Danio rerio: one gene and its partner. The protein of the gene in region 1 interacts with the protein of each later gene in a pairwise test. Links are inferred from orthologs where the notes say so. Each region holds a gene or a part of one and is shown in the gene's direction. Other genes may lie near its edges.

Region 1 (12,743 bases):
GCACCTTGCTGAATCTATACAACAATTGATTCTGAATGCAGTTCTGAATGCAAAAGTGTGTCCAACCCGGTACTAGTAAGGTGTGCCTAATACAGTGGCAGTAAAAAGTAATAAAGTAAAATCAGAATCTTAAAGGGTTCCCATTTCTTCATAATGATCATTCATTTAAATGCATTATTTAAACATTTAAGCACTGTCCAGCATTAGGCTGTTAGTAACTGGCTCACACTGGGGTTTTTTGTGTGACAATATGGAGGAAGATATTGTGCTGAGGGAAATTACATTGATGTAATGATGAACTATGAATGCAGAATGTTAAGGGTGCTGACTCTCTTGGGAAAAGTTTGATGGCATTTCCTTTTTCCTTATGTTCATTCACTCATTCATTCATTTTCTTTTCAGCTTAGTCCCTTTATTAATCAGGGGCCACCACAGCGAAATGAACCGTCAACTTATCCAGCGTATGTTTTATGCAGCAAATGCCCTTTCAGCTGCAACCCATCACTGGAAAACACCCATACACTCCTGCATTTACACACATACACTACGGCCAATTTAGCTTATTCAATTTATTTAGAGCGCATGTTTTTGGACTGTGAGGGAAACCAAAGCACCCGGAGGAAACCCACGGCAACACGGGAAGAACTTGCAAACTTCACACAGAAATGCCAACTGACCCAGCCGGGGCTCGAACCAGTGAGCTTCTTGATGTGAGGTGATTGTGCTACCCACTGCACCACCGTGCCGCATTTCTTATGTTCATATATTGTAATGAAGTAGAGATTTGTGCACAATGGTTATGGGGAATTAGCTCTGTTTATATATTATACATTTATGTACAAATGCTGCATATTGATCATTGTTTTGTTTTCTGCATTAACATATTTAGACATTTGGACAGTTGACAAAATTGATTTTTAATACATGAATAATTCTAAAGAGTATAATTTATGTGAAATTTTCATTATTTGTAGCTGTAAATATTTTCTGTCACTTTTGATCAGATGTATCAAGTAAGTAAGAGTATTTATTTCTTTGAAAATAAAATAATTGTAATGGAAACATTTGGAATATAGTGTGCCATTTTTATTGATTTAGTGTTTGATGTTGAGCTACTGTATAACTATGTGGGACTACAGTATGTCATCAATTATCAACATTAACAATGAAAACTAATGTTAATAAGTCAGCAAATTCAAGCTGAGCTTTATGCAATGCTTTCACTGTAATGCGCACCTTTTTTTATTTTTATTGTAAATATGCACAAACTTAGTACAAGAACATACGTCTCACAACAATTATGAACGGATAAAACAAAAAATAAAAATGAGAGAAATTATATACAATCAAAGTACAAACAGATGACAGAGGTAAAAAATAATATATATATATATATATATATATTATTTAATCAAATAAAATTTACATAATTCTTCGTATGTTTTTTAGCTTTTCTGTTTCTAATGTAGGCGACGCAGTGGCGCAGTCGGTAGTGCTGTCGCCTCACAGCAGGAAGGTCGCTGGTTCGATCCTCGGCTGCGTGGGTTTTCTCTGGGTGGTCCGATTTCCCCCACAGTCCAAAAACATGCAGTACAAGTGAATTGGGTTAGCTATGTGTGTATGAGTGTGTGTGTGAATATGTGTGTGCACTCAAAAAAATGAACTTTCCCTATTGTTAGTTTTACTAAACCCATCCTTGTTCACATTACATAAAACATAATAGTAATTAAATTAACATAAGTTTACCATGTTATTTCTACAAAAATGTAATACTGTAGGCTTTACTTAATAAGGGTTTGACAGGCCAACTTAACATTGTTGAGTAAAACGCAAAAACCTCTTAAGATTGGATATTTGCTGATACCGTCGCTGCCTACCTGGAGGCGGAGCAACGGAACAGTCAGAGAGAGGAACATGTGAAGCACATGAGGAGGAGAAGATGGTGGCTTTGTCAGGTATGAGTTTTTCATTAATCTTTAGTGTTAAATATCACCAGGAAAAGTGATGTGAGTGTTCACAGAATTATGTTAATTTATTATATCAGTGTATTATGGAGTCTTTTGAATTTTAGCATTTTTAGCCTGTTATACTGACTCGTGTTTCTCAAGGAAAGCATGTGGCAGTGCAAAGACTGCAAAATAACCATCACAACTAGATCACAGTTGTTGAAACACTATAGATTAGTGCATAGACATTGTGGTCGCGGTATTCGTTTTTCATGCACTTATTCTGAATGTCGCTGTAGATTTAAAACGTGGAGTGCACTACACAGCCATCTTAATTGTAGCCATGCAAAGGAGAACACGGGGTTACCTGCAAGTGTAATCACATTCAATTGCCATGTGTGTTCTTGCAGCCATATAGACTCAGAATGGGAGTATTTTAGTCATATCTATAAGAACCTGAAAACAATGAGACAGTACTTTGTATGAAAGCTATTCTTACTATAATCCTGTGTCTTAAATTTACAGATTGCTGCTGAATTCAGTCGAATCACTACTGTCCCACTAATTCAAACATTTTTCAAAACTGGATGGTTACACCAGCAAGCTGGACAGCATTTACCGTACAAAAGAAGAAATTGCAAAACGAAAAATTTGAAAACTCATGGCTACCATCGACAAGGTTTGTTATCTGTATTTATGATGCTTGTAAATAATTTCCACTTTAGTATGGTGTTTTTTTCATTGTATAAACCTAATGTCTCTTCTACAGAATGATGCCATCTCAACTTGGAGAGCTTGCATTCTCAGAGCACTTTCTGTGTATCTTAATGAAGACTATTAAAACCTCATGAAGGAGTATACAGTAAGTATAGTTCTCAGTCAGTTAATATTTAAAATGCCATCACATGAATTCACATAATATAGTCAAGGAATATCAATACACAAAGTATATTTACCTTGGGGTTGTCAAAAGAACAGACTTCAGCACCAGTCTGCACTGAAATAAAAGATTGTTATGATGCTAGCATTTTTCTGGGGAAATCTTGAGCACAGTCGAGCAGATTCTCAAGCATATTTGTCTAGGCAGATTAAGGTGGCAATTATCAGTGTTGCCAATCACAGTCACATCTGTTGAGCACAATAACACTGGCCAATTGAATTTCTTTGAAGGAATGATGATTTCTGCACATTTTTTAAAATTCAGTACAGAAGCCTGTACTTTTGACCACCCTAACAAACACAGTAAAGTAGTTTTGTAAGTCACTGCAGGTGCGTGATGTGAAAGATTAAGGAATGGACAGTTGATACAAAATTCTTTAAATTTACAATCTGTATTTTTGATGTAATTAAACTGAACAGTGATACTGTTTTTGTGTTTTGTAGGTGACAGACTTTGAGAGAGACATGGCAAATACTGTCATTAAAATCTACATCGTTAAGCCTGAAGGTTTAGAAGTCTGTGACCCACCATCATTTGCTGGACTGATTTTTGAGGGAGTAAAAGTGCTTCAGAACCTTGGCGATGTCACCAAGGCTTGTTCTCTTTCTTTGAGAGTCAAATACAGCGTGAATCTCAGTTATCCTTCAGACCTGAAATACACTTTTGAGTTTTTCAGAAAGTGTTGCTGGGACTTGCACATAAACTGTCACACAAAATACAAGTTCTCAAAAACAAACTTGTTGGCTGAATCAGTACATCATTCTGGACGAATGAAAGAAATAGAGGAAGAAGCTTTTTTGAGACACTTAAATTGTTTCTAGTTTTAAAATTAAGGGCCAATTTTAAAGTTATCTATAACGATGGCACCAAAGTTTTAAATGGAGTTCTACATCTTTAAATGGTTATAATTGTTTGATTATTTACAAAGATTCAGATTTTCAGTTTTATTCTTTTCTTTGCTTTTTTTAAATTCTTATGCTGCTTGTCTTAAACTTTCCTTTTCTTGTTCAAAGTAAAATTTATTACTTGCAGTTGCACATATTGAAAGAACATTTTGGTCAATAGTAAAACTTCTTTTATAATTTTTTTTATGTTTATTTTTTTTAAACAAGCTGTTGTTTTGTGGTGGTTTTCATAAATAAAGGTCAGTTGTATACTTTAACAATATATTAAACCTTTTGAAATATCAGCAATTGAGCATTGTAGCATTTTGTGACACTGGAAAAAAATGTCAAATTACTTTTGTAAATTTGCTCTTATACATTTTTCTTCCAATATTTGAAGTAGCACATTGTAAGAATGTTCACTATTGACCAAATGTTGCTTTTGCATTTTTTTCTTTCTTTTTGTACTTTTATTTGAACTGTTTGAGAATGTTTACAAAAATAGAGGCCAGTTTTAATGTTACTCTCACTGTTGATTGTAAAGATCAGAAATGAATTTTAGCAGTATTTTAACATTCCATGTACAATATTTTTCAAAGTAAGATTATTTCAGATTCTTAAAGCCAGTTGCACTTTAAAAGACCCTGTAAATGTTAACTGAAAGCATCTGATGTTTTAGTGTGTTTGTTTCAAAGGAAATTGAAATTGTTTTATGGGTTTTTAGCAGTTGTATGTTGCAAAACATTGCAAAGAAAATAAATTCATTTTGTTTCTAAAAATATGTTTGATTATTTAAGTTTTACACTTGTAGAGCACATACATTAGAAGTGAAATATATATATATATATATATATATATATATATATATATATATATAAATAAAGTGTTCACCTTACATACTAAAAGTTCATAATTCTAACATAACATTACTAAGTAAAATATACATAAAACTAAAATGCAATAATGACACATCTAAATGGGTTGAATGTACTAAGAAATATTTTGTAAACTTTACCTGGATTTCTTTAGTTCATTTAACTATATTGTTACTTGTTGAAACTACTCAACACAGTTACGTGGAACCACTTGACACTCTTTTTTTATGTAAGTCCAACAAATCATTTTTTTGAGTGTGGAAGTTCCCCAGAAATGGGTTGCAACTGGTGCAAAAAAGTGCTGGATAAGTTGGTTGTGGCAATCCCGGATTAATAAAGGGATTAAGCAGACAAGAAAATGAATGAATGAATGTTTCTAACGTGTAGTACCATATTGTTTTAATGCGCACACCTAACACAACCCATAACCCTCACAGTGACGTCACTAGCTCTATTGAGTGCATTGTGTCTGAGACTGCATGTCTGAAACTACGTGTCTAAACGGGCATATCCAAGACTGTATCCAGATACTATTGGGAAAATAATTGATTCGACTTTTGTTCAAGTTTCAGATGTTTACTGTGTTCTCTTGCACAATAAACAGAGAAAGTAAATTTCCCCCCAAAAAACCCTCATTCATTCATTTTCTTTTTGGCTTAGTCCCTTTATTAATCTGGGGTCGCCACAGCTGAATGAAACGCCAACTTATCCAGCATATGTTTCACGCAATGGATGCCCTTCCAGCTGCAACCAATCAATGGGAAACATCTATACAAACTCATTCACACACATACACCTGGGACAATTTTAGCTTACCCAATTCACCTTTCCCAATTTGGTCTTGTGGGGGAAACCGGAGCATCCAGGAAACATGCGAACAAGGGGAGGAGAACATGCAAACTCCACACAAAACTTTCAACTCACAACACATGAACTAAACATACAGTAGGTCTATGTATATTGTAATGTGTTGTAGGCTACATGTATAGACTACTCTATAGATAAACTATAGACTTATGTTTCAATTTATATCTCTTATTTATTCATATATTGGTGAAATCTGTGATATTTCAAAAGAACAATATAATCCTTTTTAGATTCTTTAGTCTATTTCACTAATATATAGGCCAATATATATATATATATATATATATATATATATATATATATATATATATATATATATATATATATATATTCATTGTGGAATTAGTTAATGTTGATAATGAAATGTTTTTATCATGCTGAAGAACAGAGGACAATCAAACAAATCAGAAACACAACCAAAAGAGGGCGCTATGCTGTTCCTTAGATCAGTTCTGGTGCATTACCCTACTGCTGCCCCATCAACTCATGTGTGTCCCTGGAGGGTTTTTGTATACTTGAAATTAATGATTTTTATTTTATGTATTATTTTTCTTTTTATTTGATTTATTTATTTCTCTCTCTTTCTCTAGAATATATAAAATAAATTAAATAAGCAGAACAAACTGATAATAAACATGAAGATTTTAAAACAAGATATTATTTAATTCTTTTTGCATTTGTCTTGTACATAGTAGATAAATAATTAGGTAATAACTAAGTGTAATGTAAATGTCTGCTCTATAAATTGTGTAATTTTTTCCATGTTTTAACAAACCAACAAATTAATGAAAGAAAGAAAGAAAAAAACATATAAGATAGAGATAATAAAACTGAAGCAAAAGAAAGGTGAATAAACCAGTTTATAGTAGCAACATATAAATATTCACTAATATATTCATTTAAATATTCCAAAAAATGTATTTAAGAATAACATTTTTAACAAATATTTTAAGTTATTTAAAGCTATGTTAATTTTTAATATTTAGAGCAGGACTTTCCCGCCCAACTTTTAGATGCCACAAACATTTTAATATCATTGCCCCCACATTAAAACATAAACATTTTTGTTAAAAAAAATTAAGGAAGTTACCTGAAGTTAATGTTTTGAAAACTGAAATTTTTTATTATTATATTCTTATTTGTTTTATTTTATTTTGATATATAATTTATTGTTTTATTTTATTTAAATAAAATATAATAATGTATTGTATGCTATTAAATATTTAATAATCGTTTAATTATTATGCTGTTTTATCAATTTGTTTCTGTTTCTCTTTTATTTTGTATTATAATGTGTGCTTATTATTTAAAAACTATATAGAATTATTTTAATCTTTTTAATTATTCAATTGCTATTTTTAATTATTAAAATCAAAATATTTTAATAGGTATATCACTCTCTTTTGTCCCTGGTAACCCATTCTGAAAGTTTGGCGCTAAATGAATGTTCGAAATGTTGGACTTTTCTCATAGATATTTATATAGCTATGGACTTTTATTATGAATTATCCTCTATGCTTTTTCCTGTTTAGGTCATCGTCAGTCCACTTTACGGCACGCTGTTTTCACTTTGCTGCATGCCTTTAAATACCTTCTAGTGTATTTGCTTGAATAATTGAGTTTATCTCAGATATACTCATTTCTTGTAATTTATACGATTAAAACATGAAAAATGCATTGTCAAATTTAATATAACACCATATCCGGCTTTTTAACCTTGACTGAATGGCTTATCACGCCTAAACTGTGGCATCAATACAAATACAAATTTACACACATAACGTTTAAAATATGCTACGAAATATATGTCGGTATCACACAAAGTTTGGCCAGGCAATTATTTGGCCGTTTTCATTTTCTTACGTGAAGCATGTTCCCAGTTTATCAACACAGCTACAAAAGGCAAAATATAGCAGTGCTACAGCAGGTAAGATATAAAAAGAAAAAAATAACTTAAAATGATAAACAAATATATTAATATCTTTGTACTTGCATTGTGTTTTGCAGAGAGGAAAAAGTTCTACGAGACTGTATCTATAACTCAAGGTGAAGGTGAGCATCATTCAGTACTGATGGCCATAACAGCACCTTAAAAGAAACATGTTTTCAATGATGAAGATCGAGGGTTTGCTCATATGAAAACACAGATTTTCTTGTTTATAGGTGGCTTGTTTGAAATAAACCTTGATAAGAGAAAGCTGAAGACCCCAAGTGGAAAACTATTCACAGTTCCCAATGAAGCTCTTGCCATTGCTGTTGCAAATGAGTGGGACGTTCAAAAGGACACATTGAAGTTTTACACTATGCACTTGGTAGGATATTATTTTTAATTTATATTATATTATTATTATTATACTATATTTTGGTTTCCCAAGTACTACTAGTATATTTGAAAGTTTTATTCTACAACTGTCTACAGAGTACATTCAAATGTATCTATAATACATACATAGTAGCATGGAACACATATTTTTATACACTCTTCAGAACTGAAACTTACAGTATTACAAGTCTACAAGACTAGTACCTTTATTTATACCCAAAATCTGTACTTTTTTGGTGTTTTTTCTTTTTAATTTTCTGCTGCAGACGATTCCATTCAAGAACCCCCTAAAAAGTACAGATTTTAGGTATAAATAAAACTGAAAGCTTAGTTTTTTTTTAAATTCTATTTTAATCATTTAAAAATTCTATTCAGTTAAAGGGGTAGTTCAGCCAAAAATTATAATTTGGTCAACAACAATACTCTGGGACTTTCTTTCATCTTTGGAACACAGATTAAGATATTTTAGATGGAATCTGAGAGCTCACTCACCCTTCATATAGACAGCAATGTACTTTTGTGCACACTTAAAGAAAAAATACTTACTTCATTCAGCGGTTTATCACCTCATTAGTAGGCCCACACGGAATATGCGTGTACAGAAATCTGCAGATTTCCGCAGATCTTTAGCCCATCATTCGGTGTATTTACTGTATTCACTTGTTTAATTGTGTGTGAATTTATATTTATTTAGTTTTTTTTTTTTTATTAATTTCACTAATATTATTGTGTTATAATAATAGTACTATTAAAATGTTCATATGATTTATTAACAATACAGTTAGTAATGTAATATTTTCTGTCTTTTTGTAGGTATATGATGTATTGCTTTCTTTACCAAATAGGTGGATGCAATTGGATTTGCACTGTAAACATTAAATAAAATTAAAAAATGTGTTGTTTTTTATTTAATATATTAATGCTGTAGTTATGATACTCCTAAAATCAATCTCTGCAGAAATTGCAAAAAATGTCTGCATATTGTGTCTTTTCCTATTCATTCATCTATGTTTCCATCCACCTATTTTTATGGTAATTTTGCAATATGCGCATAGAAAACCGGTTGATGAAAACGCCAAGATGCACATTTCATTTTGAAAAAGCTTAATGTGACTTTTCATTTTCATAAGGTTCCTTTTACAGCATCGATGTTTTACACTATCGATGCATTGATGACAAAACATTCAGTTAAATAGATACAAGCATTCATTTAGTTGTTCAACCATAAAACAAGATGAAAGATTGTGTAACCGCTAGCGCCATCAGGATCAGCAGGCGAGCGCAGAAACTCCTATACTGGGGTGAAATTAATTGTTATATTTTAAAGATATGACGGGGGAATAGAATTTAACGCAGTGCTTTTTGTCTGAGACTCATATATCTATATCTATCAGGCAGTGAAGGTCACTGATTAAAAAACAAACAAAAAAACTGACCTCAAACATGGCAACTTTATAATGGAAAGACGGAGGCCCTGTTAGGCTGAAATTAAAAGATTGTGTGCATATACCCCATTCTAAATAGTTATCGGTTATTGTTGTCGGTCAAAAATTCCAAATCGGTTCCACCCTATTAATAACATAATTTTCATTTTGGGGTGAACTGACCTTTTATGTAGTTAAAGATATTTGCATTTGCTCCTAGTTTTTTTTATTTATTTATCTATTTTTTATATGTTATTATTTGCATGTGTCTTTTTTCTTCACCTGGTTGTCATTTTAGATGAGAATTGGTTCTCTTAATTGATTTACCTGGTTAAATAAAGATATTTATTATTAAATACTAATGGATAATGTATCTAAAACATTGTCACAAGTACATATAAAATCAGTGTGTGTATATTCTGATAGTACATTCATTCCCAGTATTCCCAACATTCATAATGTTAAATGAATAGCAGAATCTAATAGACTGATTTCTGTCCCTACAGACCACCCTTTGTAACACTGCTCTTGATAATCCAACACAAAGGACAAAAGAACAGATGATCTCTGCCGCTCTGAAGTTTTTAGAAACAGACACTATCTGGTATGCTCACTGATTAGGTATAGTATTTCATTTATGCATCAGCTGATGGTTTTAAGGTTTCATTACATCAATTGTACCTCGCTTTGCAGTTACAGAGTAGAAGAACCTCCAGGCCTTGTGGAACTTCAGACAAATGAATGGGACCCTGTGATGAACTGGATTGAACAAAGGTAAAATTGACAGATTTTTGGTCAGAGTTTTGATTGTGTAATAATTACAAAAAGTTACAATTTACTGGTATATAAGAACGTACTGTTGTTTTTAGGTACAATGTAGTCATTGGCTCGTCCTCCAATATAATGGGCCCTCAAATCCCAGAAGAGACTAAAGAGACATTTCATCAGCACCTTAATTCCTTCAACTTCTGGTCTCTGACAGGTACGTTGGTTCTTTGTATCTCATGTAAATGAGCTTGTTTACAATAGACTTTGTGTAAATCTTATGTGAATGTGCTTGATTTTTCCTCAGGGCTTGAGTTTGTGATCAATCAGCTGAAGTCGCTGGTTTTGTCCTTTGCGCTGATTGACAGACACCTAAATGTGGAAGAAGCGGTTCTGTTGTCCAGACTTGAGGAAGAATACCAGGTATTTTGATTAAATTACTTTTAAGATTGAGACCATATTGTTCCTGTGGTAATAATTACTATACATTGTGTTCTGTCTTAGATTCGGAGCTGGGGAAATGTGGAGTGGGTCCATGATTATGACATGTATGAGCTGCGAGCGCGAACGGCGGCTGGTGCATTGTTTGTGCATCTGTCATCTGAAAAAACATCTGTGAAGAAAAAAATCTTACAAGACTGATAATGCCAAAAATAGACTGTGTGGGTCTGAAACTTTGGGAATTGTTATCTGTTTTTGTTTTTACAGTGACACTAGTTATCTAACCAGTAGTTATGTTTTGAGAAATAATACAGATTTCTAAGGTCATGATATGTATTTATAGTGTCAACAGCTATCACATGGAAACACTGTAAATGCTAAAACCCAGTATTTCAAACTCAATTTCAAAGATGTAAATGTTTAAGCTGTATGTTGGGGAAAAGAAAGAAACATTTTAATAAATTACAAAGTACAAACATCTAATTGTGTCTACGACTTTTTTCCTACACAGTTACAAAATGAAATAGTCCTCCCAAAAATAGAGTGACCAGGCATTTCTTTTTATTCCTGAGATAGTACTAGATTTCTGCTCCATTTCTAGTTTTCCAATAAAAAAAAAAGATAAAAATTGTGCCTCATTTAACATTTCCGAAAATGGCCAATTGCTGAGCACTAGTAAAGTTGTCTGTCACATAAAAAATAACATAAATCAATTGCAGCCAAACATGTCATAGTTTATTTCACAATTCTGTATTGAAGAATGTGTAGTTAGTCAAGACAGGGCCTGTGCTGTCAGGCTAGTTCTGGTGTCTGTGATTTACTATAGTTAAAGCAATTTAAAAACCTGAATGAACAAATAATCTCAAATAAACCTCAATTAATCTGTAAAACATTTTTTAAATAAACTGATGCCTCACCCATTACATTTAACTTACGAAAGTAAGTCAGAATGTATTCAAAACACATTAGCTAGCAGGGACAAGATTCATACAGTTCCCATTCAGCATTCCACTCTGAGAAATCTGGTAAAACTGGCCACAAGTAATACAAAAAAAAAAAAAAAAAAGTAAATTGTATTCCACCTCAGGCCATTAGATTTATAGCTTTGTTTTCTTCAGTACAAAAATTTTCAGCTAAAACCGGTGATTTATAACAAGCAAGTTAATAGTTACAAACACTGATCGTCCAAAAAAAAAAAAAAAAAAAAAATATATATATATATATATATATATATATTTATATATGTATATATACAGTATGTATGCAAAACCAGTGTTGGAGAAATTTACTTTAGAAAGTAATGCATTACAATATTGAGTAATGAATAAAAAGTAACTAGTTGTGTTACCTTTTATGTTAATACGTTACATTACATTTAAGCAATTTTTGCGTTACTTTTTATTACCTGGCTGAGGCTTGATCTCTTTCAGAACATGTTTGTTTCTTTCTTACAGCTACATTTACCTCTAAAAATGTTCACATAAAAATATTTTTAAATAGCTTTATCACACAGAGCTCTATTCACTTTATCAAATTAAATAAGTGTAGTTAACTCAAAATTTCAGTTAGTTATTTTTACTCATTTGAAGAGTTTTGAACTCAGTGTTGAAGGTAATAAGTTAATTAAATACTTAAACTTAGAGTAAGTTCACAGTACTCATACGGATTTTTTTTTTTCTAATATAATTTTTTCTATTTTTTTTTTTTTACTTAAATGCTTTGTTGCAATCGGTTTCCTCAAACGGTTTGAGTTGACTTAATTTATTGAGTTTTACAGTACTCAGTTGGTTTGAGTCTTTTAGTCAAATGGATTAAGTTCACAGTACTCATTTGGCTTAGTTTTTTAACTCAAATGGTTTGTAGTAAGGAGGCGCAATGTTTATGAAAAAGGGGGGGGGGGGGGTTAAAGAGCTATTTAAATGAATTAAAAAGTATCTCAAATGTTCTTACTTTTTTAGTAATGCCTTACTTTACTCGTTATTAAGAAAAGTAATATTATTACGTAACTCACGCTACATGTGCATTACCCCCAATATGGTCTAAACTAAATTGATGCCTGTGGCTCCTGATTAAACTTTGAGGTTTTATAAAGTGGTGTTATAACTACTGAACTACAAAGGACCAAAAAATTGCTTAAAATCTTTAATACCCAGCTAAAAAAAACACATCTTGAATGGTTTGAGAATGAGTAAAACCAGACATTTTCATTTTGGCCGAGCTCTCCCTTTAAGATCAAAGTCACATTAAAACATCGGTTGACCTAAGTGCATAGTCTGAA
Region 2 (12,621 bases), on another chromosome or scaffold:
CCAATAACCAAATATCATTGATAGCCGTGGGCCGAAGATAACCATACCAAACTATTTTACATCAAAATTACCATTGTTAATTTCTTAACTAGTTTAATAATATTAAAAAAATAAAAAGAAAACATTTCTTTAAATCATATTAACAAATGCAGCATCACTTTTTAAAATAATAAGTTATTGCAATAAAAACATAAACAATCACATTTATAACACAGTGGAGTTCAATGCTGAATACACTAGTCAAGCAGAAGCTGCCTTTGATTTGATTTGCACACCAAAGTCTGCATTGTCCTCTATCCATCGTATGTACATTTTAAATGGATTCCACGTACAACGGGTTAAATGGCTGATGCAATTTTATTAGACAGAAGAGTTAAGAGAATCAGTTAATGTGTGATATCTGCATAAACTCGAGCCATGTCGATAGATGACAGTGCAGTTTCTAACAACACGAAGAACAGCTCTGCTAATGTTAGCCAACTACTGAATAAATATGTACCTTTAACACACTGTGGCCTCAGGCACAGCAAAATATTCCGCTTTTATGTTTTTATTTAAATAATTTACTTATTTTGCCCACAAAATTTTACATTCAAAATTGTAAATTTACTAATAAGAAAGCGAATTTTAGGGAACCGATGACTGAATTATGTTTATATATTAGTAGTATCAGAGAAAGCCCTATGCACATTAAAACTTTGTAAATTCTACAATGTATTTATTAGATTATTACATATGTACATTCTGTATATTTGTATTTGATTTATACTTACCCCCTGGCATTTAGATTTTTCAAACTGTTAAATGTTATAAGAAGAAAAAGAAAATTTGTTTTAAAATCACGTGACTATCGTCTTCGCGCTCATTGGCTGCAGCCCCTGAACACTGTTGTCTGATGACGTGCGGAGCGAAAATTAAACAATGGGCAGCGCGTTTTATCGCGTACAGGTAAACAGTACCTGTGCAGCCGAGAAAGCAGAAACGGTCGCAAGCCAGAAACACCAACAAAGACAAATATGAGCGTAAACATCGATTCAACGTACAACGGGTTAAATGGCTGATGCAATTTTATTAGACAGGTAAGTTAAGAGAATCAGTTAATGCGTGATATCTGCATAAACTCGAGCCACGTCGATAGATGGCAGTGCAGTTTCTAACAACACGAAGAACAGCTTTGCTAATGTTAGCCAACTACTGAATAAATATGTACCTTTAACACACTGTGGCCTCAGGCACAGCAAAACATTCCGCTTTTATCCCGTCTGTTTACATTAATGAGAGCTGGAGCCGTTTACTGCAGCTGCTCAAGAATGATCACTCGCAAATATTGCTGATACTACAGTAAAACAAGTATCACAACATGTTAGGTTTAACGTAGACTTGGTATCAAAGTGTGTGTATTCTCATTTGCTTTTACAGCCTGCGCGATGAGGCGTTATTTGCTGTATAATCGAACACAGGCCACGGATTCAATTGATGGAGCTTTAACCCAGCAATCCATAGTTCAAATGTTTTACCATTCCTGAACTGAAAAATCAGTTGCCTGTCTCAGTGTTTTGTTGTTCTCGCTTGCTCAGGGTCTGCTGCAAACTCGCGCAGCTCGACTCAGATGAATTCCTACTCAGATAGCGGATATCAGGAGGTGAGCGGTTACTACAGTAACACGGTGACGCCCAGGCGGTCTGAAGGGAGGTCACAGTCGACCAGCTCCGCCCCCAGCGGAAGCCCCACCCTCGCCATGAGCTCCAGGGCTGAAGGACAGGCCTCTGCACAGGTATGAAAACTCACTCAAACACCACTATATTAACGTTTCCTGGCGTGTTTGTTTTTTTCAGGGATCATTAGCACTGAATAATATATGTCCATTGTTATGAGCGATGTAGAATTGTATTCCGACTTGAGTTTTTCTGATGTACGTGACTCGCAAAGTTGTCTTGAACAGTCACTAAACAAACTGCAAAATCCTGCTTTTCAAATACTTCTCATCCACGGATTTCTTCCGACAGCCCGGGAGGATAAAGCGGCGCCCTCTAGCGAGTGTGCGCGTGGGACACTCCTGTATTTCAGAGAGGGTCTGAGATTTACTCGCTGAGCCGCTATTAAACGCGATATAATAATAATAATAATATGGAAAGATGTTATGAAACTGCCATTCTAACAGCAAAGTCTGAGCTTTAAGTACAGAAATAGGATGAGGCGTGGTATGTTTGGTGAAGCGCGGCGCAGTGTGTGTCTATATGCGGGGATCCGGTGTTTTCAGAGCGGATTTGGTCACAGCAAATGCTGCTCCATATGTACTCCTTCTCTGCAAACGCTGTGAGTTTGGGTCGCTTATAAAGTACAGTACAAACTACTTGGTTTGAAACGTAACGTTGTAACTATGTCAAATTTGTTATGAGAGTAGTTTTATCGAGAAGCATTAAGCACTTCCTGCTTTCCTCCAAAATAAAAGCTCAGTGTTAACTTTTGAAAGCAATAAGACGTGTAGAAAGCCATTCTTGTTATCATACCAAAACAATGCTTTGCCAAGAGATTTTACAAGAAGGTTTTAATATGCTTGCTGATGGTTTGTTATGTTTGGTTTATGGTGTGACAGACTAAAACTGTAACATTAAAGGGATAGTTCACCCAAAATCAAAAATTGACCCACTATTTACTAGCCCTCAGTTGGTTACAAACCTTTGAGTTTCTTTCTTCTGTGGAACACAGAAGATATTTTTTAAGAAAGCTGAAAACCTGCAACCATTGACATCCATTGTTGACAAAAAATAAATACTCTTGTAGCCAATGGTTACCGGTTTCCAACATTCTGCAAAATATCTTCTTTTGTATTCAAAATTGTCACAAGATTTTTTGGAACAAGTGGATAGTGTGTAAATAATGACAGAATGTTCGTTTTTGGTTGAACTATCCCTTTAATTTCACTATGAAAATAAATTAATTTGGCGTTTCTGTGTGGAATTTTCATGTTCTCCCTGCGTTCGCATGGGTTTCCCCCACAGTCCAAAGACCATGTGGTATAGGTGAATTAGGTAGGCTAAATTATCCGTAGTGTATGAGTGTGAATAAGTGTGTATGGATGTTTTCCAGAGATGGGTTGCAGCTGGAAGGGCATTCGCTGCTTAAATCATGTGCTGGATAAGCTGGTGGTTCATTCCGCTGTGGTGACCCCGGATTAATAAAAGAACTAAGCCGAAAATAAAATAAATGAATAAATTACTAAAAAAATTATTTGTTTCAGTTAGTTGTCAATATAATATTTATAGTTTTTTTTATTTGAACTTTGTTCAACCCTAACTAAAAAATAAAATTTCTTTCTCCTGATATAAAAAAAAATTCACTAAAACTCATTTTGTTGACATTATATAATATATAAGCTGAGGCCTGTCACAATAATCATTATATCGACTTTATTGCGCAATACTTGAATATCACCTCAATAATTATTGTCATTGCAATATATTTTTACAAATTCACAAATAATGTTAAAGCCATTTTACTATTACGTTTACGTTCTACCTTGCCAGTGTCAACATTTATAACTGGACATTTACCTTATAAGACATTTAATAGTATATATAATAGGACCTTAACCTTTTTAACATCAAATTCATTATCTTTTCAGCTTTGTATCTTTCTTAATCTGCGGGTGCCACAGCGGTATGAACCGCCAACTTATTCAGCATATGTTTTTTTACGCAGCGGATGCCCATCCAGCTGCAACTCATCACTAGGAAATAACGTCAAATTTTACAATCTAAATAACGTTAAGAATGATAAGTGTTTTAAAGTGTTTATGACTATATGCATTATTATATAGTCATTATACAATCATTGGCATAAAATGATCTCAACATGACAATAATATCGCTTATAGCAACAATTCCTGGGACAATATATTGCACAACAAAAATTCCTTATGACAGGTCTATCTATATAAGGCAACTTAAACTTACAGTAAGCTATATGTTTGTTTGACATTTATTAATCTTAGTTAACATTATTAAAGATGAAATTGCTTTAATTCACAATGCATTAGCCAAAATATTTATCTTTATTTTAATAATATATTGCAGAAGGCTTTTTATGAAGTCACTTAAAGACCTGTTTAAGTAAAGCATTGCCAGAAAATATCTGTATTATGGAAAATGTAATGGGATACACGTTTTGTTTGTTTTATTGTATTTATTATTTGTATTGTTCTGAATAGTGTTTGCATTGAAGTTGACTTGGCATTAAACAAAAGATCCAGTTTAATGTATTAGTAAATGCTGAAAAAATATGAACTAAAATGAGTAAGTGCTGTGGAAGTATTTTTTTATGCTTTTCACATTTAAATCAATAAAAACTATTTAAATGAACAGAAATATTTAAATAGCACAACAAAAATAAAAACAAATAAAACCTACAATAGTATCTCGGTTATACTAAAATAAAGCTTAAAAATCACTGAGTTGTCATTCATCTTATTGGCCCGGTATTAAGATTTAAATGAGTGTTATAAGTTTAAAGGGCCATTAAACTCTCCCTGTCTCAGCAGGGTGTTTTCACACCTAGTTTGAAAAAAATTAGGAAAGTGGGTGACTCCAGCTCTATTTAGGTGGGAGTGTCGAGTGGCAAAAGAGGGAAGGGTTTGCATAAAAATGGAAGTTTTCAGTTTGAGCAAGTGCTGATTTTTAAAACAACACACAGACGCAGGAGAGAAAGACAGTGACTGTTTACATGGACACCAGTAATCAAATTATTTGCCACATTCTTAATTTGTTGACTTTTACTGCAGTTTGACATTCAGGAACATTTCATGCATGCCCCCTGCGAAAAATGAGATGTTGGATGCAAGGAACTGCTGGAAGAATGTAGTTTTAATGGGATGTTTGATACCGCACGGCAAATGGGAGAAAAAAAACTTTCCGCATTTCTCGGTAACTTAGATGCACTCTGTAGGTAGCGTTAGAAATCTGTATGTGTATAGACTATCCTGTCACAAGATGCGGCGAAAATTCTACATGATGGAAATAGTTTGATTAAAGTGTTTACATGTTTACACTCAGAGAGCAGCAATTACAGTCTATGTTTCAGCCCATATTATTGTAGTGATATTACCGTACTGTAAACTTAGGGTGCTTTCACACCTGTGAATCGATTCAGTTGTTCCGAAACAGAGATTACAATTGTTACATTGTTGCTCTTTGCTCTTGGAGCGGTTCGCATTCACACTGCAAAGTTTCTAATCGGACCAAAAGAGCTAAAACAAGTCACGTGCGAGTAAACTCTCCTCCCATTGGTCAGAGTGTCAGGGTTTATTTTGCAGCGTCCCGCTCAGCTGTCAGGAGAGGTGGTGGTTTGGTGGTGATTGACAGGGTGCACGCGCGCGACGTGTCTGAGGAGAGACGCGGTGGGGAGGGGTTAGAAGGGTGCGTGACGATGCCTATTTGGGGACCGGGAGGGAGACGCAAGATTACCGGGAGATCATCACTTGTTTGCGGGCATCCGGAGACTCGCGAAACTTCCCGCCCTGCTCATAATTCTCTCTTCATATAGCCGTAAGCCTATTACATATCCATAAAACACTGTGATATAACCGCGATCGGATCGCTTTCTCACTGCAGTCGATCCGCTCCAGGGTTCGTTTCAATCGAGCCGAGACCACCTCATTCAAGCGATCTCGGAGCGATTACTTTGGCGCGGAACAGAGCGCGATTACCCTGTTCACATATGCCAAACGAACCACGCTAAATGGGCAAACGAGATACGTTCTGAAACAAAAGTGTAGGTGTGAAAGCACCCTTAGTAACTAAATCATTTTGACTATGGTATGTCTTTAAAAACTGAAAGAGTACTGCTGACAATACTACCTAACTTTGCCATCTGAATAAACATAAACAAAGAGCACTGATCTCACACTTACCAAATCTATAAAGAAAGGACAATCAAAACCAACTAGAACCGCGTCTTTTTTAAAAGGAAACGAGCGGTAATTCCTGATGTTTCCATTTCCAGATACGAAAAGCTCTCGGGTAAAAAAATATATTCCTTACAAACAGATTTCTGTTGCTTGTTAGCAGACCACTGTAATCCACACGTGAGTCCAGCTGTACTTTCTTAGCGGGTAAATGGAAACAAAACCTTTCTTGCAGCACATTTATAAACAACACTGATGACCCATGTCTCCAAACAATTCTTCTTCTTCCACTTGTTTTAATTATGGTTGGCAACACAATGTGGCGTCTCTCTGCCATCTGAACACTGTAACGGATAAAAACAGTCTTCAAAGCTATCATGCATAATAATAAAGGTGGACCTCATAGACAATAGAGTACACTGATTAGTGGTCTGGAAAGACTTGGAATTCTTTCTCATGAATTAATGCTTAAAGCTCAAAGACGTCATGTTGTACTGGCCGGTACAGACATCCAGTCTCCACGCTGGAATTTACACAAGGATCTAATCGTAACGTAGCTTAAAAAAATGTATTTTCAAAATGGAAGAACGAATTTGCTTGAAATAACGCGAAAACAACCAATTTTTACTTTTTAGTAAATTATATGTGTCCTAATAGTGTTTTTAGCAGCGTGGGACACATATATGACTGTAAACAGCTCAAAAAATGTTTGTTTTCTTTTTACCCTTAATAATGATATTAATTTAATAATATTATTACTATTATTATGTTAATTATATTGTTCAAATTATAAAGTTATTATTATAAATGTTTCTCTGTGATGTGTTTCTCAGGTGGGCAGCAGTGGGCGTGTCATGAGGCGGGTCAGCTCTGTTCCCTCTCGTGCTCCATCTCCACTCTACACACCGTCTCCACCTGCGTCCCGCCAGCCTCTGCGTACTTCTCTCGGAAGCCCCTATGGTTCACCCATAGTCTCAGAGCCTCGTCCTCTACCTAGCATATTTCCTGGCACCACCTTGCCTCCTGCTTCCAGCCACGCTCCTGACCCGCTCCACTCCAGCTACCTAGGGCGGCATGGAAACGGGACGGGGTCTGAGTCTGGGTCACCAACACTCCTGCGAGCTGGAATGACTGCTCAGCCTCAGCAGTATGGGACCCTGGGAAAGCACGATACACGTGCATATGAGAGCACTCACTCTTCTTTTGGCTCTCGAGCCTATGACATCTTTGAGAGGATGGTTCTTTCAAGACCGGACAGCCTTACAGGTGAGTTATACTCACACAACCTGTCATGATTTACAATTAGAGGTGTTTCTAAAGTACACATACACTACGTTTCAAAGGTTTGAGATCAGTAAGAATTTTTTAATTAATAAAAAAAAAAGGAATTGATTAAGAGTCATAGTGAATACTTTCACCTTGCTATGAAGATTTAAAATGCTGTTGGACATTTTATTTATCAAACTATTTAGCTCTGCATGATACTGGAATAATGTGCAGTGTTGTTTAGTGTTGCGATAACGATATTTCTTACGGTATAACATTTCCCTCAAAAAATCTTTTTCTTAGCCATGTTTTGAAATAATATATTTATTTAATGATATCAAAATAATCAAATTAATTCTAATTCAGACTAAAAAACGGTGTCAAGGTGCAATAATTTAAACCATGTCCACACTAATATGTTTTAGTTTAAAAACGCATATTTTTTCCTTCGTTTTGACCTTCCGTCCACACCGAGATGGTATTTTTAGGAAATGAAAACATGTTTTTAAAAACACAGTCCAAAGTGATCAAATTTAAAAATGGCATTTTTATATTGCAGTGTGGACCTTGAATAAGGAGGCTTTTGAAAACGATGACTCATTTTAGTCATGTAACCAATTCAGCTAACATAGTGGACGACATTGTAAAGCAGATGATTTGGATGCTGTCTGTTTTATTACAGCTTTATTAATGATTTATGTCAGTTTATACATGATTCATATTGCCTCTCTTCCAAGGACACAGAACATTTACTGGAGAGCTAATGTTAAGCTGTGAAAGCAGACGATAGTTACGAAAAGATTTAAAGAGACTGAAAGTAACTAAATGCCAGGTGTAAATGACGTAGCTAAAATTGTCTTACATCTGTGTGCATGCGCAGTACTGAATTAAAGCACTTTCAGTCCTTTTAGTGTGGATGATGGAAAGAATTTTAAATTTTAATGTGGACATGGAGTGTTTTTAGACAAAAACCGGTTTAGGTAGATGTAGCCTTAAGGGGGTCACACACCAGATGTGCCGCTTCATAGCACGCACATGACAGTTGGAAGTATCGCACACCAGATGCACACATTCGCATGTTATTTAAAGAAAAACTATTTAGTGTCCTGAGTCGTAGCTGGGTACCATAAACAGCCACCGACATGCGGCACTGGTGTGCGTACCCTGATATAAGTAACTATGGTTTACAATATACTGATGCTCTAATATTTTTGGCTTTACTGGTGATAATGGTCAGGAATGTTGAACCATTATTGCCTTTTTAGCATCAATATAGGACAGAAACTAGCCAATCATGTGTGAATTGTGAAGCAGATATAAAATATAAAAAAACATCTGTATTTTTTAGCAAGGGTACTTTTAGGGCTGGGCGATTTTTTCGAATAATTCGAATTTACGTTTTAAGACGATTTAATTTTTAATCAAATCGAGAAATCGCGATTTAAAAAAAAAACATATATATTTTATCCATTATAATGGCACTAATGCGCTTTGGTTCTCTCTCTGTATGAAGCAGGAAGCACACCAGAAGCGCCTCTCGGCGATGCGCCGCACAGCACCACGCCATGGATTTTAGAATTCTAAACAGGTTTCTGTACACACACCGGCGCCGCCCAGCCACGGTTCACGAAGCAGTTCTCATTTCAGCCGGCCCACAGAGCGCCATCTGATTAGTTTCATGTTAAATATCATGGGAATGTGCGCGTTTGGTGTGTGATAGTTTAAAATGTCATGTCCGCGCTGTGTCGTGGCGCTTCTGGTGTGCGACCTGCTTGACTGCCTGTTAAAGTGTGAATTCATGTAGGATTTTACTTGTTGCACGTCTGTGCGGATTGTCAAGACATATTCCCTCCTCAAGTCGATAAACTTGTTCTCAACATGTATGAAGGACGTAAAAGCCTGTGAAAAACCGCGCCGATCTTTTGTTTTGAACACGAGCAGAGGTGAGGGCCTGCAGCAGTGAAAATGAAAGTACCCGCCCCCATGACGTCATTTAGCGGACCTAGTTGAAAACCAGACAGATCAGGCAGCATAATACAGAGAGTGGAGCAAAGCGCATCAAATGATCAGTATTTAAAAGGGGGGAAAAAGAAAAATAGATTAAATATATTATTTTATATTAGACACACATCTGGTGCTTGTATTTGCTCCTACTATACGTCCACAACTTCACACATTGGGTTAAATTAGGCTTTACAGTTTCCATGTTCAGTCCTTTTCTTCCACTGTATCTTTTTAAGAAAAAGGCAGCAGCTTTACAACCTGACATTCAATCAGAAGAAGACAAAGTCAAAGCCGAGCCGACAGCCAATCTTTCCTAGGCTCAGCAAAACTTGCAAAAAATACCTCTGTATTCCTGCAACCGCAATATTTACACAAATATTTCTTATTCAAATCTTCTGCAACGATATTTAACTCGTGAGTTTGTTTTATTTTTTACACCTTGACCGATTTTTTTTTTGACATGCCCATTTAAAATACAATGTTCCTTAACCAGATGGTTTTTCAAGTTACTTTCAGTCATGTTGTTGTAATGTTTTGAGAAGACTAGTTACACAATAAAAAAAGTTACATAATAAAAAATAAAAAAAATCGAAATCGTGAATCGGTCAAACTTTATAAAAAACCTAGATTTTTTTTTTTTTGCTAAATCGCCCAGCCCTAGGTACTTTTAATCTTGCCATAATAAATATTTGTAGAGTAACCCATGTTCTCCTTTCATTAATATTTTAATAAACTTTAATTGGTAAAACTGTCCCAAATATACAACAATAGCAATTGATGCATTAAAAATTGATTTAAAAAATCTTGAATGGTTATAAAAAATTATTATAATCATTAAAATCATTTAAAAAAATATAACAAATAATTAGTTTCAAAATCTTGAGCAATATTAATGATATGACGTACTTCCGGAAACTTTCTACTTCTCTTTTTATCTTTCTGACTTTACGGTCAGCTTCTTTTGACCGCCCCCTGTCGTTTTAGGGCCTACTCACACTATGCCATCCGTACCGTGCCTAGGCCCGTTTCCCGGATCGTTTGAGAAGTGTGAGTGCGATGAATCGGGCTCAAGCTCGGTTCACAAGGCCGGCTCTGGCCCGGTTGGAAGAGGTGTGCCTAAGCGCGGTTCACTTGGGCTTTGGCGCGGTACGCTTGTGTGTGAGTGCAAAACGCGCCAAAGCCCGAAACTGAAAGCGAGAAGTGACTTTTAAGGGGCTGTTTCATATGGATTTATTATTCATTCTTACTGTTTAGTGAACGCAAACTGCCGTAGTTTTTTAAAGACGAGAACTCCTCACAGCACGACAGCTGCGCGGCTTCAGCAGACCTCCTCATTCCTGCAGCACGAGAGCTTTATGATTGTTTATGAGCGCCAAAAGTGGCGTATTTGTTCGGCGAAATATCTGACTGCGTGTCCCCGCATCCCTAAGGACTGTTTGGCGAAATATTTGACTGCATGTCACTGCATAACAAACGACTCAAACGATATAACTAGAGAAATCTCCACTGTGCTGCTGAGTGAGAGAGCGCTTCTCACTGAACAGCACAGCAGCGATGACGTAAGCGTGCCGAGGCCCGTTTGTGGTGTTAGCGCGGGCTGTCGAGGGAGACGGGAGGGGGGACAAGCGTGCTTTAGCCCAGTTCGAGGCAACTGTAACTAGTGTGAGTACGGCCTTAAAAAATTTCACAACGGTGAATGGAGCAAGTATAAAAGCATTGTCCGTTTCGGGAGGTGAGCACACAATCAGCAGAGGTGCGCAGAGGTGCCTGGCGGATGTATTAATCCAGCTTAAGTCTTTAAAACACTATGAATGAGTGAAAACCTCAGCAGATATTCTGACTCTGACTGGCTGTTGTCATTTTCCTCTCGTCTCGATTTCCGCCATCAGTGTTTATTTTTTCAGCTCTGGTTTCATCATTTGGGCAGCTCCAGCCAATAGAAAGAACATCGACTAATGAGGAGGTGGGGATAAAGATAGTAAGTCCCCATCTGATTGGTCAAATTTAGATAGATGACCAGTGCATAAAATAAATGTGATTTATCACACATGTGTGTGATACATATATTGCACATGCTATTATCACAATAACTAATATTTTCAGATATATTATGCAATCCTAAAACAAAGCTCAGTTTCTGTAGAAATATTGAGCAGGACATTCTATTACAACTGTGATTAAAAGAAATGTCTTTGAACATTTCGAAGGTTCATGTGACAGAAGATTGGCAGTTGAAAATTCGGTGTTGTTGTCACAGGGGTATTACATTTCACAGCATTACTGTATTTAAATTTTTGTAGTTAGCACAAATGTTGAAGTGAGCATAAGAGAATTCTTTCAATTATCTTAATGATCACAAACATCCGAACAGCACTTTATAAATCAATGATTTTTGTCAAATAGTTTTTCTCATTTATAAAACTTGATTCCATAAATCTTAAATCCATAAACCGATTTTCTCTTCCATCCTGACCAAGCCAGAACTATCAACTGAAATTTCTACACCACTCTTATAAAGTTATGGATTATGTATGTGCAAAACCTTCTTAGCTTTATATATGCATTAGATTATATAAGGTTTAGTAATGCTGTCACTTATCTCTCTCTCTCACTTTCTCCACTTGCTCTCTCTTTCTGTGAGCGTGTTTGGTTTGGATCATAAAGTCTTTCCATAGGGTTTTTCTTTCCTAAAACATTCCCCTCATGAGGTACGTTTTCAAAACATGGGAAAAGTGAAGAATTTACTAAGCGTCTCTCAGTTAAATCTACGCTCGTTCTGTATATTGTCTGTTAAAATCTCAATTATAAAAGCCACAGGAAGAAATCCTCAGATATCTTTCAACATAAATGAGACATAAACGCAGGGAGACTGGCGTAAATTGCCTTCATAAAAGCACAAGAAAGAATTTTAGTAATTGCTTCTACTCGAATCATGATAAACCTCCGATTAGGAGATTTGATGCGTGCATATGAGTTTGTGAATCAAAAGTGCTGTGATGCATTATTGTAGTATATTGTTTCAAAAATCGTATTACAGTCTCAATTCCATCTGCAATAAACATCCACATGAAACTGGAGCTGCATGGATATTGACTTGCAGTGTGTGTGTGTGGTTTGTGTGTGCACTTGACGTTATGCTTGTGCTTGTTTGCTCCAGTGTTTTGTAGGATTACGCTGATGATAATCTCCCATTCTGGCTCTGTGCGATACTTCTTCAGATGTGCCCCACTGCCCCATTTCTGCCATATTTCTCCACAGATTACACATGATGTAAAGCCTTTGAAAACGAAGCTTTTAACTCCAGGCCCTTCAGCAAGAACTACAGCTGAATTCGGAGACGTATGAAGCGATTAGAAATTTATGAAAGACAAACTCGCTGAATTCTGCATGGCTTTTCCAAGTTAGCGAGCAGTGCAATTTTGTCCGGCTCACAGTTTGCTTTGTGATAT

The links.
Region 2: the proteins of atpaf2 (region 1) and pkp4 interact in binary tests that used the Homo sapiens proteins (3 or more experiments, as listed by UniProt). The two-hybrid records come from large-scale screens. The link is inferred for Danio rerio from reciprocal best matches to the Homo sapiens genes ATPAF2 and PKP4.

Annotation. Positions count from the first base shown.
Region 1 is NC_133187.1:20,031,904-20,044,646, reverse strand, and holds atpaf2 (ATP synthase mitochondrial F1 complex assembly factor 2), read left to right. Parts: upstream 1-7,059; 5' UTR 7,060-7,303; coding exon 7,304-7,439; intron 7,440-7,519; coding exon 7,520-7,564; intron 7,565-7,675; coding exon 7,676-7,824; intron 7,825-9,765; coding exon 9,766-9,863; intron 9,864-9,952; coding exon 9,953-10,033; intron 10,034-10,128; coding exon 10,129-10,241; intron 10,242-10,331; coding exon 10,332-10,447; intron 10,448-10,528; coding exon 10,529-10,666; 3' UTR 10,667-10,948; downstream 10,949-12,743. UniProt on the Homo sapiens protein: Plays a role in the assembly of the F1 component of the mitochondrial ATP synthase (ATPase).
Region 2 is NC_133181.1:13,203,260-13,215,880, reverse strand, and holds part of pkp4 (plakophilin-4), read left to right. Parts: intron 1-890; exon of another isoform or gene 891-1,079; intron 1,080-1,577; coding exon 1,578-1,774; exon of another isoform or gene 1,775-2,280; coding exon of another isoform or gene 2,281-2,316; intron 2,317-6,735; coding exon 6,736-7,168; intron 7,169-12,621. UniProt on the Homo sapiens protein: Plays a role as a regulator of Rho activity during cytokinesis. May play a role in junctional plaques.